Caenorhabditis elegans: one gene and its partner. The protein of the gene in region 1 interacts with the protein of each later gene in a biochemical or structural test. Each region holds a gene or a part of one and is shown in the gene's direction. Other genes may lie near its edges.

The links. Proteins that work in one complex are often made in the same cells at the same time.
Region 2: the proteins of sel-8 (region 1) and lag-1 are reported together in a solved structure, tested with the Caenorhabditis elegans proteins (one study listed by BioGRID).

Annotation. Positions count from the first base shown.
Region 1 is NC_003281.10:3,622,118-3,630,304, reverse strand, and holds the start of sel-8 (Protein lag-3), read left to right. Parts: upstream 1-3,162; 5' UTR 3,163-3,184; coding exon 3,185-3,240; intron 3,241-8,187. Other genes in the region: mrps-31 (Small ribosomal subunit protein mS31), read left to right, coding at 1-34, 82-176, 221-382, 429-863, 1,702-2,065. UniProt on the Caenorhabditis elegans protein: glp-1/Notch and lin-12/Notch proteins promote signaling by recruiting lag-3 to target promoters, where it functions as a transcriptional activator, probably as part of a complex with a Notch intracellular domain (NICD) and the transcription regulator lag-1.
Region 2 is NC_003282.8:6,098,646-6,106,613, forward strand, and holds the start of lag-1 (Suppressor of hairless protein homolog), read left to right. Parts: upstream 1-2,942; intron 2,943-4,071; coding exon of another isoform or gene 4,072-4,137; intron 4,138-4,192; coding exon of another isoform or gene 4,193-4,331; 5' UTR 4,332-5,691; coding exon 5,692-6,454; intron 6,455-7,522; coding exon 7,523-7,709; intron 7,710-7,760; coding exon 7,761-7,862; intron 7,863-7,968. UniProt on the Caenorhabditis elegans protein: Transcriptional regulator that plays a central role in lin-12/Notch and glp-1/Notch signaling pathways, involved in cell-cell communication that regulate a broad spectrum of cell-fate determinations.

The DNA of each region.
Region 1 (8,187 bases):
GTCCAGCGCAGCTTCGGGCGATGGAAATGATGGTGTAAGTTTTCCGGCTCATTTTTCAAGTTTTAAACCAGTTTCTTCCAGAAAGGTGCAAAAGACGCGATTGATGAGGATTTGCTGAATGCGATTGAAGGAGTAGCGAATAATATTCACCCGCAGAATGGCTCCGAAAAGAAATCGTAGGGTGAAAAATAATAAAAAAGATTCAAATATAACTTTGCAGACTAAAAAATACATTGATCAATCGATTAGTAGCAAACGAAAAAGCGAGTTTTGATGCTGCCGCAGCTTCTGCAAGCAGTGAAATGCTCGATGATCAGGCACTTATCGGACTTCTTGCCGATGTGGCGGGCGATGCCAAAGTTGAGAAGAAGCTTCCTCCCAAGTGAGCCATTTTCAATGATCCGTGACAAATTTCATTTTTTTTCCAGATCCGCTCAACTTCGACAAGAAAAACGAGGACTTGTTCTTCTCAGAAAAGAGATTTTCTATCAGGCAGTTCAAAGTGGCTTCACGACAGAAGAAGCTCGTGTCAAATCAGAGACAATTGTCAATGAAGCACAGATAAAGCTCCAAGAGCAGCGAAAAGCTCTTCTAAATGATGTTAGAGAAAAGGTGGAACAAGAAGAAGTTGAAGAGACGGAGAGAAGTGAGAAGGATCAGAAGTTGTTCACGATGGCCTTGGAATTTATGGAAAAGATTTACAAGGATGATTTGATTAGTAGTGCTGTTCGTAAACCTGTGAAAGTTGACAATGATGCTATTAAATTGTTCAATCAGAAGCCTCTAGGAATCTGGAAAAAGGGCGAAAAATATGAAGATTTTTCCCTTGGCTTCTGGAAACAATGGGATGAAAGAGCTGCAAGGTAGATATTTATGAAATCAAATGGCTCAAAATCCCGAAATTTGATAAAAATTGCTAATTTTAGCTGAAATCTCAGATTTTCTCAATTTTTCCGTTTTGCAGCGATTTGTTTCACACATTTTTGGTAATTTTTAACGTTGTTTCGTTGGTTTTTTCTTCATAATTCTATAAAAACAATTTCCAGTCGCTATGGTGCGAAAAAGTTGACAAAAACGAAGATTTTAGCTTAAACTAGTGAATTATCAGAAAAACTAAGTATTAAAAATTTTGAAAGATTTTTCTAAATTTTGCGTGATATTTTCAATTTTGTAAAAAAATTTTGTTTTAAATATTCGCATTTTCCGGCTGAAATTATCGTTTTTTCGTGATTTTTGTCTGAAATTTTATGTAAATTATATAAAAATCGATATTTTTTTCCTTTTTTCACGGAAACTAACGAAATTTTGCCGGTTTTCTAAAAAATCCAAAAAAAAATTGGATCAGAAAATTAACCATCAAAATCGATTTTTTATCTAATTTTGTTCATATTGATGATGAAAAACATAAAAATGTCATTTAAAAAGAAGAAAAATTATCATAAATTCAGCTAATTAAAAAAATCAAAAATTGAAACATCGGAAAAATAACTAATATCGAGAAACAATTTTTTTTTGATTTTCAAAAAAGGAAAACGAAAAATAGAAAATGTTTCAAGTCAATCAATTCATGAAATTTGGCATTTTTTTGTGTTGAAAAATTGAAAGAAAAATTGGAAAAATGTAGAAAAATGTTATAATTTTCTTTACTTATTTGATCATTCAAATCCATTATCCACCTTAAAAAAACCGTTTTTTTTTCAGAATTTCCAACGGCTCATTCGGACCAACAAATTCTTTCGAAGAACAAATCGAATGGACAACAAAAGGAAAACAATGGGAATATCCAATCGATAATGAGTTCAAAATGGGCGATGAATCGAATGTTTCATTCATTGATCACGTATTCTTGGAGAGACATTTACCATCATTGGGTATCCCGAAATCTGGTCCAATTGCTCATTTTATGCATTTGGTTTGTGTTGGTTTATCCAAGAATCCATATATGACAGCAGCGAAGAAGCGGGAACATTTGAAGTGGTTCGCTGATTATTTCAATACGGAAAAACAGAAATTGGTTCACAAACTTCACGAACAGGAACAGATTGCTGCTCAGAATGCTCTTTAATTTTAATTTTTTTTTAAATTTTTGTTTGAAGGTGGAGTACCGAAATTTAACCCGAATTTCGCAATGAGATGTTCTGAAAATTTCTCAAAAAAAAAATTTAGGGTGGTTCAAAAAATTTCGATGTTTTTCAGAGAAAAGCGATTTTTTGAGAAAATTTTGAAAAATTCGATTTTGTTTTTCTGAGAAAATGTAATAAATTCCGATTTTTTTCGGAGAAAATTTTTAAAAAATTCGATTTTTCCGGGAAAGTAAAAACAAATTTCAATTTTTTTTTCATAGAAAATCTGAGAATTTTTGATTTTTTCAAAGAAAATCAGAATTTTTGATTTATTTTTCAGAAAAAAACCGAAACAAAAATCAATATGCGGAATTAATTTTTAATTTTATTTCCTTTTAATGCATATTTTAGTAATATATTACGCGTTTACTCGTTGAGAGCGCACAAAATTATATAAAATTTGTGCACCCATCAATTGAAAATGTATCTAAATTAATTAAACTATGTATTAAAAGGTGTTAATTAAATAAACAACAAGTTCCGAAAGTTTTTAGGCTTTTCGGTGTAGAAAATTAGTTGAAAAATCGAATATTAGATAATTAAAATACAATTTACCAAGAAAAACGACTCTTGATAAACAATAAATTTGGAAAAAAATCGAATTTAGATTAAAAACCAAAAAAAAAACCTTAAATTGATTTTTTTGCTGAAAATACGAATTTTTCCATAACTTTGAACTGCGAAAACCTTTTTTTGAGAAATTTTCGGAACTTTTCATTATAAAATTCGAAAGTTTTGGGACATTTTGAATCTGATTTCGGTACTCTATCTTTTAATAGTGAATAGGATTTTTCTTCTTCTTTTTTTGTTTTGTTTTTTATTTCTTTAGGATTCACTTTTAATTGTTATTTATCTCTTTATCATTTTCTGTTTTTCATTGTGTACCCCCAGAGTTTTTTTTCCAACAAAATTTATCCAAAATATTTGTTTCTTGAAATTTGTTGAACAACTTGGTGGATAGATCCCCGCGAGTAAGAAATATATGAAGCGGAAAATGTATGAAAGTCTCAGAGACTCCAATTTTTGGGCTCTTTTTCAGGCATCAACTCTCATATGTGTCGATGGATGATCTCTCGGAATTCTTTGTGATTGAGGAGATGTTTATTTCGGAGCCAAGGTGCGGTTTTCTCTTTAATTTTGAATTTTCCGGGAAAAAATTTACCTAAAAATTGCCTCAATTTTACATGTTTACTCCGAAAAAATAAGCAAATTCTATGAAAATAAAAAAATAGGAAAAAATATCAAAAAAGCACAGTTTTCAGGGTTCCGTCTTATAAAAAATCCTTCTAAAAATTTCCGGCAAATCTGATATCCGGCAAACCGGCAATTTGCCGAATTTGTCAACTTCCAGTGGCTTTTGAAAAAAAAATTTCAATTGCTTTTTCGTATAGAAAACTGGATTTTACTACCTGAAAAATTGAATTTTAGATAATTAAAACTATATAATTAAAATACAATTTACCAAGAAAAACTACTCTCTTGCTAAAAAATTTTGGAAAAAAAATCGCATTTAAGAAAATTGAAATTTTTTAATTAAAATTAAATTTACCAAGAAAAATCACTCTATTGATAAAAAAAAATTTGAAAAAAATCAAATTTTGTTTAAAAAACCAAAAAAAAAATCCAGCAAAATTTGCAGCAAATAAAAATAAATTTTTTGCTGAAAATACACAATAATTTTTGATGAAAAGTTGAAATTAGCGAGAAAAATATAAAATTTTTTATACTTTTAAGATTTGTTGGTAGCAGAAAACAAAAAAATTCCACTAAAAAATGCCAAAAAATTTAAATGTTTTTTCCCGAAAAATTGCTGAAAAAATTGAATATTGTTTTGAATATTGACAAAAAAATTCAAAAGGAGAAAATAGTTTCAATTTAAAAATTTGAAATCACATACTTTTTTTTTGTAACATTTGGTGTGATTCATGATTCCCAACTTTGAAAAAAAAAACCATGAAAGTCTATAAAAAACCTCGTGTCGATTTACGCAGCTCGTGTACTCCCCGAGGATTTTCACCAATTCTTGGTGCATTTCCCATTCAAAGCGTAATTTTTGTTCTATTTAAGAAAAAGCCTGTAACATTGCCGAGAAACCTCGAAAATTGAGCTAGTTTGTCCTTCTAAAATTGGTTCTGAAAATATATTATTATTTTCTTTTTTGAGAAGTTGACCCTAGACAGTGTTCCTTGAAAACTCCTATTATCCGTATTTACACACACTTTTCCTAGAAATTTTTGAAGTAGAATTCACCCAAAAATATTCATTTTCTCTATCTAAATGCAATCTAAATTTCACCAACTTTTTCATTTTTTGTTCAATATTTCATCCATCTCCATCTCCTTCACTTCGACAGAGACAACGGAACCAATTAAAATTCGACGATGGCGCCCGTCCGGGACTAAACTGCCAAATCATTTATGTGGTCGTTGTCGCCTCTTCTCATCACGCACCTCCAATGCTTTCGTCCTTTTGACTGACTTTTTGATAACCTGTCCGCACTTTTCAGTGTAAATGTCTATGTGAGACAATTGAGTGAAATTCTTAGATGAAATTGAGAAGATTGAAATTGATTTGAACCTAAAAACTTGCATTTCATTGTGAAGTTTTTTTTTTTTTAATTTGAAGTGCTCTGCAAAATTTTGGTATTTTAATTATTTTTGCAATTTAGAAATTTCAAGCAAATTTTAATTCCGGCAATTTGCCGGTTTGCCGATTTGCCGGAAATTTTAAATTCCGGCGAATTGCCAATTTTTGTTTTTGCCGATTAGAATTGAAATTCTCATATTTCCAAAATGCAAAACCACAATTTGCCGAAACTTTTCTGCAATTGCCGTTTTTCCGGCAAATCGGCAATGTGCCGGTTTGCCAATTTGCCGGAAATTTCAATTCCGGCAATTTGCCGATTTGCCGGAAATTATTATTTCTGCCAGTTTGCCAGAAATTTTAATTTCTGCCAATTTGCCGATTTGCCGGAAATTTTCATTTCTGGCAATTTGCCGATTTGCCGGAAATTTTCATTTCTCGCAGTTTACCGGTTTACCGATTTGGCGGAAATTTTCATTTCTGCCAATTTGTCGATTTGCCGGAAATTTCAATTCCGGCAATTTGCCGATTTGCCGGAAATTATCATTTCTGCCAGTTTGCCAGAAATTTTAATTTCTGCCAATTTGCCGATTTGCCGTGAAAAATCGTTTCCCATCCACCCCTGCCTCGAATCTCTGCAATTTCCAGAATCTTCTTTCTAATGCTCTAGATTTTATCTCAAGTCCTCTGGTTCCACCTGTGACCTCTATAATTACCGGCTGCCAATAACTGGCTCAGTTCCAGGAATATTCATTCCAAAAAAAGAGGCATTGTGTCATAATTGCACACACCTGCAACTCGCTTTTTTTTGGATTCGTCCATTTTTGTAATGTGAAAAACTTTTTTTTTTCAAGTTGAAAATGAAGGACACCTGGCTATCGTATCCATATTTGTAGGTTTTAGTAGTCAGAACTCTCCATCGGTCAGATTAACCAATTTTTTGAAAGAATTGTAATTTTACAATTCTAAATTTTCAATTAATTCTGCCATGGTTTGTACAATTAAATTGCTATAAAAATTTAGATTTTCAAAGTTTTGTAGAGACATCAGTTAACAATTTTTCGATAACGTAAAAGATATCTGAGTAGCAAGCTTCACTTGGTGTGAGAGTGTCCCATTTCGGGTTGATCTACTTAGATCTACGAGAATTGCGGAAATTTAGACGAAGACTTCTCAACTTTTCATTTCACAGTGCTGACGTGAAGTTTGAGCCACCGAGCAGTCTAACTGAAGTTTTTTTGGGATTCTATCAGATCCAACAGTTCATACAATGCTTTTTCTCAGGATATAGCAAGTTATGTTCTCTATTTTGCACAGTAACTTTTTCTCCAGATCTAGACTTTCCAGACCATTTTCCAACATCAAAAGTACCCGAATCTTCCCTGTGTATGCCAATTGAGTTGATCCGGTTAATACCTCCTTCTCGGCAATTTCATCTTCTTCTTCGATTATGACGGCCCTTTTTGGAGGGTGTACCACACACATACACAAACACGTGCAGGTGTCGTTTGCCATGCTGCTGCGTCTCTCAATATTCAACACACTATCCATCGATCCATCGGCTCGCTGCATATAACTCGTACAGTGTCCATTCCTTCCTGTCTCTCTCCTTCTCTCCCTTTTACGGGCGGTGTGTCTCCATACTATCCATCCGTCTTCTCGTCGCTCGCTCCATAGCTGCAGCAGCAACGAGGCGATCACGGTTTGTTATTGTTGCAATTTGGCCTCCTCTTCGTCCCGCATACAGTTGGGTGAGGATGCCACGATTATGACCTCCTTCTCGCTATCTCTCCGCTCTCCGTATCGCTTTTTTGCTCCTTCTTCAACCAGTCAGTCAGATACGAGTTTGTTTATGTTTGTGTCCTCGTTTTGTGGCCCACTACGACCTGATCGTTGACGCCGTCTATGTCTCTCCGTGGATAGAAACAACAAGTAGTGACCATTCAGTTGCATGTTTCACTTTTTATAATCTTTAAGAAGGAAAACAGACAAACAAACACGTGCGCCAATTCTGCGGTTTAGTTCCGAGCCACCAGAAAACGACGACGAGAAAAACATGTGGCTTCCTATTTTTTTTGCGAACCAACTTTTTCCCCAAATATTCATTTCTTCTCGGAAAAATATAACAGGGATGGCTTTCAAAAATATTCACTCCAAAGTTGAGAATCATGGAATTTGAAGACTTTTCACCTTTTTTATGTTACGTGGCCGCGAAAAAGTAAAACTCGGCCACAAATTTTTTTCCGTCTCTGCAATTGCAAAAGTTTGAATTTTTGATTTTCTATACTCGAGCTTTTCTATTGGAAAACCCCATATTTCATCCGTCACATCCTTTTATCAGTAGCATCATCAAAGTTAGTCGCTTCTGGCTCCGGCGAGCTCCACCAATTAATCATCATCATAGCCAGTTGAAAAACGGTTTTAGAAGCCCCTCTAGTGGATGACACCGGTCTGGAGAAGCAACTCGAAGACATTTGAAACAACGGGAGATTGCGTGTCTGTGCGTTTATAAACACACACGGAGAAAAACGCTCGTCGCATCAAGTATAGAAATATGCCTCTCTTCTATTTCGTTTTCTTCGTTTCGTTTCGCTTATTCCCACAATGGGTTTAGATACATTTCTTCGGAAAAAAGTCCTTCCTTTTTTTGTTGTTTCAGCAATGCGGAGGAGGTGGTTGCTGCTTCGTCATTCTGTTTTTTTAATTCGCGAAGCTGCTGCTGCTGCTGCCGCTTCTTCTTCTCGCCAGCACATCCTACGAGACACACTCCTTTTCGTTGTCGGTGCTTTATTATTTATTCCCTTCTCTCTTCTTGCTCACGAGAAAGAGCGGCGCGACTCCGTAAATTTCTTGGCACAATCTAGTGACGTGGTCGAAGAGACTAGGTTGTCAAGTTAAAAGATTAGTGTCTCCTGTCAGACAACAACGTCATTTTATGACTACTCGTGAAATTTATGGAAGTTTGAATATAGAAATTTCTCATATTCAGCTTTTGTTTCAATTTTCTCCGAAACCGGACAACTAACATGTTTCTCCTCGTTCTCTTAGTGTTTTTTATTTATTCTCGAGAATAGATTGAAATCTGATTGCTTTTCGCTTTTTTTTGTTTTCTTCCTTGATGTCGGAGGCAAGTCGTGCTTTTTGGAAGCTGTAGATCAAGGAATGTATATTCCAAAAAAGGAGAATCAACTTGAGTAGCCAAGAAATGGGCGGAGCTTATTTCTGGATTTTTTTTACAAACAAACGAATTCTCGAAAGTTCCAAGTTACCATTTGGATCTCAGACTTTCTGGAAATTTTTGATGTATCAGGCCCATGTTGTATTAGTACAAGCAAGGCTTCCTTGTAGGCGCCAAACGCCTGCCGCGCCTGCCTCGCGCCTTCTGTATGGTGTGGCGTGGACCCGAAAAGTGTCGGCCGCGGCGGAAGAACTACCTTTCGCACTATGTAATTGGAACACCAAGCCTTTGACTTCAAGCCAT
Region 2 (7,968 bases), on another chromosome or scaffold:
TCTGTAGAATTTGAAAACTAGTTATATATTCTATGCCAGTATTTGAATTTTCTACATCGTAATCATATTAAAGCTGGAATCGTGAAGGCAGGTCTCGTCACGATCTGGGTAATAATAATTCCTCATTAGATTGTACAAAAAATTTGAATTATTCCAATCCTTCACACCTCTAAGATCATCCTCTCGTATTTCAAACTTCGCCTATTTATCAACCATTCCAAGGAACATTACCTTTTCGTGGATACATGTTGCATTTCTCTTCTTTGATTCTCTTTTCTTTTATGTTTACTTTTTCTGCGTTTCTTCTCACACCTTCTCCAGCAGCTCCTCTTTTACCGATTACCCAACATGACCCCGTCGTCTTCTTTTTCTATTCAATATAACAATTTTATGTGTCCGTGTTTGTGTGCAGCAGCAGCAACACTTTCCTATCTCATCACCTATTCCTTGACGACCGTTGATGATTCTTCACTGGCTTCTAGTACTGTAATAATTAGAGACTCGAATCGTCGTTATTTCACTGTAAATTTTATAAATTGTTCCATACTTTGCACCTGCACCGACACACAATCCGAATCTCTCGGTGCATTAGAGGTGGTAAAAGTGTCCGATTAGATTGGAGATTAAAATAGTTATTAGGCGTGAGAGAGAGAGAGTGTCGGTTGGTTCAAAAAAGGAGTTGTGTGATTGACTTTTTGAATAAGGAGGTTTTTTCAAGCCGAGCAGTTGTTGAGCTGAATAAGAAAATTCTTTTTTTTTTATTGGAAAGACACAAAATTGTTAAAAGTTGCGCAGAAATCCAAAACTCTCTTTTTTAATGAACAATTAAAGTTAAAAAACACGAGACTTCACTCAAAGTAAGAAAGTTCGTTCCCCCTTTATCGTATTTCAATTTTCTTGTCTTCTTTCATAAATTCCCTTTTTAGATCTTTAAAAATTATACATATAAAGGTAAAGGAAGTATCCGATCAGAAAAATTCGATAATAGACCCCATTTCAATCTGGGGTGTGATTTTCCGTGTTCCAATCGGCTTTTTAGTACTTTTTGGAAATTTTCCTCCTTTCTCTAAAATAACGGTAGTACAGAATAAGGAAATTTTTTTTTAATCCAGAAGCGGCCAGCCAACTGTATAGGAATTTCAATTTTTTTTAATGTGCTGAACAATTTCGAAATCAAAAAGACCCTACTCTCCAGCTGATTACAATCATCTGATCGATGTCATATTTCTTTTCCCAAAAATAATTTGTCTTGTTTCTCTAATTACTCTTCTCTTATCATCACAATCTCTCACGTTTCTTCTGTCTCACCAATAAAAACGGGGGAATCCCCCTGCAGGTTCAAGTTGATATCATTAGAAACCTGTTTTTCACGCAGTCAATACTCTTTTTTTTCCCTCGATAAATTGATCATTTTCTCGGCTTTGGGCGTGGAAATATTTTCTGCAATAAGATGTGTTGAAAAGTCAGAAAAAAGAAAGTGTTCATCCCGCCCGTTGTCGTAGATCATTTGTTTTATGGCAATTTTCATCATCATTTTGTAACCGTCTTCTTCCTCCTCTTGCGCATCCAATCCACATATCACACAAAAATGTACAATACGAAAAATAGGTCGGTCTCTTCACATTTTCATCACCAAAAAAGTGTTTTTGCAGAGAAAAAAGTGGTGATAAATGTGGAACTTATAACTGTAAACACATTTAAACGAGGGCGGCGAAATTAGATATCAGACATATACGATACAAAAAAAATTAAAAAATCTGTGTGTATTTTGTTTGTAAAAAAATAAAATAATTGCGAGTGCATTTTTTTCAGATTTGAGGATAAATTTTAGAATTCATGGAATTGGAGCATTCGATAGGTCGAAAGGAAAGTATTTTGAGCATTCAATTCGTTATATCAGTTATCCGACTCAAAGCAATTTGTTCTACTTTAGAATTAACGCACTTTTTCGATTCTGAGAAATTTATTCAATTCGAGCTTCTTTCTGTAATCAGATTTTACCGCAATTTTTCAAATCTTTTTTGCTCTTCTTTTCCATATTAGCATTGTTCGTCTCAAAATTTTATTTTTGATTTCGAAGGCTAATTTCTTCTTTCCCAAAAATTCGTACTCATCTATGACCTTTTACAGTATCAAAGAAACATATATGCATTTAAAAATTATTGAAAAAAACTGTTTGAAAATCTCAAAATTTTGTCATTTTCAAACTTAAAACTCGAAGAACATTTGAAAAAAATACAGTATTCGCTTCAAATATAATCGTTTTCATGATCGGATTCTCTCAGAATTTCATCTTCAATCTGAAAATACTAGATTTAAGTGATTCCGTGGATCTTCTATTCTCGTTTCAAAGCTTCACACTCCTGCTTTTTTAGTTGTCCGATCTCTTGTTTCTTACCATATTCCGACATAAAAATCCCGCCGAAACCCATCAAACTTCTTCTTCTCGTATACGAATATAATATGTGTGGGTGCTCCGTTTTGTCGCACAAGTACCGTACCTCTGCTTCCTTACCGATATTCTTTTCTCCGAATCGACGACAAAATTTAATGATCGATTCGGAGGCGGAGGTCGAAGTGGTGGGAATAGAAGTGATAAAACATACGCACACCTCCCGATTTTGTCGATTCTTCGTGTATGTGTCTCCCCGGCAGTTTCATTCTTCTTCCGAGAGCATTATATTCGGAGGTGCTCCCTTTTTGACACGTCCCTCTAATTGTTTAAAAACCTCTTTGGATAATTTCCATGAAGTTTTATTAAAGTTTTAATTTTCAGACTGGGTGAACCCGCACGAAATCTGGATAAGTTTATAGGTAAGTTCGTAATCAATCCATCGAAATTTCAAACAACGTATCATTGAGTTCCAGAAGCAATGTTCCAGTCGGTATCGCCGCTGGCCGGTGTCGCTGCAGCGCCGAGCCAAATTGCCGCACTTCAACAGGTGAGATTTGATTTATTTTGGTAGTAGAAATCATCAGAAAATTCTAAAAATTCGGAAAATATCAAAATTACAGCAATAAATAAAAAATTGAAAGTAAAAATGTCATGTTGCCCAGTTAAAGGGGTATTAAAGTTTACAGTTTTGGTCAAATTAACTAAAACTCGCCCGAAACAACTGAATTTTTTCAATTTTTTCAATTTCATAACGAGACTTTTCAAAAAATTGCCGGTTTTTTTTTTGAGAATTTTCGTTATGAAATTGGTTCGTTTCAGGCCAGCTTTTGTATAGTTCGGCAAAAACTCAAAAAATCTACTCCCCCTTCGAAAAAACTTGACAATAAGTTTCCGATTTTCAAGAAAAAAACGGCGCATGGAGTAGTATTTTTAAAATTAAAACACCTAAAAATGAGAACTGAACTATTCGCTAAAAAGTCGCTGAAACCAGCGGCAAAATATTAAAAATCCCAAATCCCTACGGAAAAATTCAACAATGGGCTCTATTTTGGTCACTTCCAAAAAGTCGAATTTTTTTTTATCATTAGGCCCTTTTTTCCTTCCTTTCATATTATAAGAATATTCATTTTTAGATATGTATTTTGAGTTTTTTGCTTAAATATTCTCAGAAAAAACCGTTTCTCACAAAATTTCTCAAAATCATTTCTAATCGAATCAATCAATTTTCCCAGTCCCCCGAAGCACGAAAAATATTCACAAAAGCCTTTAGTTTTCTCCCATAACATTTCTCGTATTGTCGCTGGGACTCACTTTTCAGATATATAATGTTGAAAATAAACTTGCATCAATATTTCAAGAGAACATTTTCTAAATTTGTATTTCCCAAATAGTTCCTATTTTTGAATTCCTAGTTTTTTATTCATTAAAAAGTTACAAACTGGAAATTTTTCTAAGAATTTTTCAAATTTCAATATTTTGGGCAATTTTAAATTTTATAAACTATAATTATTAGTTATTTGAACTATATTAGAATCTAAAATAATTTAAAATAGACAAAAAAGGCGTACGGAGATGACCTGTAATTTCCCAACGTCTGCATTTATTGATTGTCACCCCATTGTGTTCGAGTTCAAAAATTCGATATTTTTATCAACTTTTGATTTATTTTATTTCAGATACAAGCGTTGATGACATTTCAAATGCAGCAGAATAATTTATTTCCCAAAATTGACACTATATCGGTTAGTTTTCACTAATAAATTCTTATATTTTAAAATGTTATAATATCAATTTCAGAAATCGCCAACTCCAGAACTCGCATCTCCATCGGCAAAACGAATGAGACTTTCTCCCAGTACGAGTAGCCACAGTGATGTCGCATCAACTTCGAAAGGAACAAATGGGCAAGATCAGTCGAAAAATTCGCCGACAAATTGTGAGTTTTGGAAATTTTCAAAATTAAAAAATATGTAAACTTTCAAAATTCATGTTCTAGACCATTTTTTCCCCCCAAAAAAAAGTCGTATCAGATACATTTTTCTGATTTTCCCTTGCAAATGTGTTCTTCCAACTGAAATTTCCCTCAAAATTTTTCCCTTTCCCTTGTTATTTGGGAAACTGAAAACCGCCGAATGGTGAGAGTGTGAGCGCGCGTGTGCTTCTGTTAGCTGCATCGACTGGTGGCTAATTCATAAGCCCACTCTCTTTTCCCGTCGAATTTTCCCACGTCGATCGATAATTTGAGCAGTGCCGACGGCTCAGCTCAGCTCTCCCTAGACTTCTTGTGTGGAGCTCTACGATTTCTTGATTTTCTAATGATTTCTCTCTCGAAGCACGAAAAATTCGAGAATCGCTTGATGGGGAACTTGTTTTCATTATGATTTGGAAATCAACGGAAAACAAAAAGGAAGAGACCGACACAGTTCTGTGAAATAAATATAGAAGTGAATAAAAATATGCATAGTTGTCCATATTCATGTGGGAACTTTTGGTGCTCATCTCTATTTGACAAGAGACCACAAGGAATCGAGTTACGCAGATGGTTCACTTCACACGAATAATGATAGAATGAAATAGATCAAAGACAGAGAGCTATCAAGGAAAAGTACTGTACCTGGTCGACAGGTGCCTGGAGGTACCATCATGCTCTTTGAATTGAGCACACAGTGGACAATGGCCGTAGTGCAATTTAAATGAGGTGTATTAGTCAATAGAGAAGATAGTAAGAAGTTCCCTTTGTAGGTTGACTCGACAGATATGATTTAATTCGGATGTCTCCAAGAATCCAGAAATTCCGATTTTCCATATATCTGAATGTGCACTCTTCCCTATCAGTCATCCCCCGAGAATTTTCCCCAACCAACCAACCCATCGATTTTCACACGAAGATTCACACTCATGAATCACTTGAGATCCTCTTGTCTTATCGTTATCCCATAACTTTCTTGACTCTTCTCGTGTGATGAGAGGCACCACCACCACGACGGAACGCAACAAAGAGATCACCTGTGTATACACATGGTACATCGGGAAGGCAACAAGTGAGGATTAAGATTTAATGTAAATGAGTGAAAGTGAATGAAAGCGACCGTTACTATATTAGGATGGTTCAATTTTGAACGTCTTTGTTTCCAGATGCCACTCAATTAGCGTTCACCTATTCAGTCATGAAATATCCGAAGAGCTCAACGCTCTCTCTCTCTGATTGGATACTCTGACTCCGCCCATCTACCAGTTTGTCTTTCTGTGTGCTTTTCCATCAGAAAAAGCTATAGACTATATGAAGAAGAGAAAGAATGTTTTCGTGGAGGCGTGGCGATTGTGAGTCGCAGAAGGAAGAAAACCGAAGTGAGGAAAGGAAAGGAGAGGAGACTATTCGTTTTCCCACCCGCTCTCCTTTTCATTGTGTGCTCTTCTTGCTGACAGACGGCTTCGTTCTTCACAAACCCACAGCCAGCCCCACCGTCGGTTTTTCCCCCACAATATTCAGCTTCTACTATTCTCGGTGGGAATCTTCGCATCGGATATCCCACGACGAGAGCGGCTTCTGCACCGCGAAGACCCCCCTTCAAGACTCGACTTTCACGCGCCACCCATCCACATCGGTCCCATCGTCGCCCTCAACGCCAAGACACTCCGGGATGGATTATCATCAGTCGTCTTCGGTAGCTTCTTCCGAGTCGACAGCGTCTACAGTAGCCGCGGCGGCGGCTGCTGCAGCTGCTGCATCACTCAATCAGCATCATCATCCACATCTATATTGTGATGATGGACTTCTATCGAGAAGTTTAACTGATATGGTATCATCTGGTGGATATGATAGCTCATCATCTTCTCTAAGTGCAGCTGCATCAATGTGTTATCCGACTCCTGATGCATATTACTATCATGCTCCACCACCACCACCTCCTCCACAAGCACAACAGGGATTCAGTTCAACAGACGCGTGGCTTCAAATGCAAATGCAACCCACGTATCATAACTTTGGCAGTACTGTCGTCTCTACCAATTCCCCACTTCCAAGCCACCTTCTCAGTTATGGAGGACAACCAGCATTTGGTGAGTGAAATTAGTAATAAACGAGGTATTAATTGGATTACGTAAATTCTGAGAATTCGTATTTTGCAACTTGTTAGCCGAAATATCTCGTATAGACAAAGCGCTACAGTAGTCACTTGAAGAATTATTGTAGTTTTCGCAACAGAGATGTAAGCTATTTAAAAATGAAGTGAAATACTGATAGAACTAGTATAACAAGTACAATAACCTAAAAACTTGTTCTGAGATAGCTCAACTCAATCTATAAAGTCAAAACATTCCTAACACCATTATCATGTGATAATTTTTCGAATTTCTCACCCTTATCAGTCTGTAATAAACTATTCACATAAATAATTTTACTAGTAGTTCGCATCTCGTTTGAGGTCTCACTGAAAGGGTTCCGCACTGTGTGCCAATACTATTTTATTATAATGGGCGCACGTCGCGGCAACACCAAAAAAGAATCAAAATTATGCACAACGGCTCTCCTGTGGCGGCTAAAAGACCGGGCGCCACCCACATCGTTATCATTCTCCTGTGTCTCACACACACATTCATATTTAAAACGACAAGGCCACAGACATTGGTTTTTATTCAATCCCTATTGTATTACCTCTATCCCATCCCACATTGAACATTCCTCTCGATGCTCAACCCGTACTATTCGTATTATCCCTATTACTATGGGGTTGGTGGGGCTCCGTCGTCTTCCAATGATGTGCCAACTAGTGTGATATCTAGTACCACTAGCAATACAGTAACTGCATCTGATGGTGTTACACTCACGAATCTCGAAGCACCGAGCTCCGTGGCACCACCGCTTGCTCCGACTTTTCCGCCTCCGAATTTCTCAATTCCATTCAATTTTGATTTCAATTCGTTTACAACGGCTTCTACTACGGCCTCGCTTGTAAATGCTTTCAAGAATAATAGATTTCAAGCGTACGACCGTAAGAATTCTAGAAATTCCAGCGGTCAAGTAGAAAATATCTCAAAAAACTTGGGCGGAATATTCAAATTTGGTGGGTTTTTGATAAAACTTGGTTTAAATCTGCTTTAAACTGAAAGTTTCTATTTAATTTCCAGCTGATCCATTCTACACAATCGGGCAGTCAACTCCAAACACATCATCATTCCTGGACACTTCAAATTCAAGTTTTGGAGCTCCGTCAACAGTGGTTGCCAATCCGATGACCAACTATCAATTGGCATTTCAAGCGAAACTCGGAAGTCTTCACAGTTTGATTGGAGATTCTGTTCAATCGTTAACAAGGTTTTTTTAAAAAAAAATTGATTTAATGTTAGCAATAATATTTTTTTTCAGCGATCGAATGATTGATTTCTTGTCAAACAAGGAGAAGTACGAATGCGTCATATCGATTTTCCATGCCAAAGTTGCCCAAAAGTCATATGGAAATGAGAAAAGGTAAAGATAAAAGGAAGACAGGTGGCGAGAACAAGCTCTTATTTAGTTGAACACAAACCACTCAATATTTGTTCATAATTGATACACTTACAACATACACAGATAG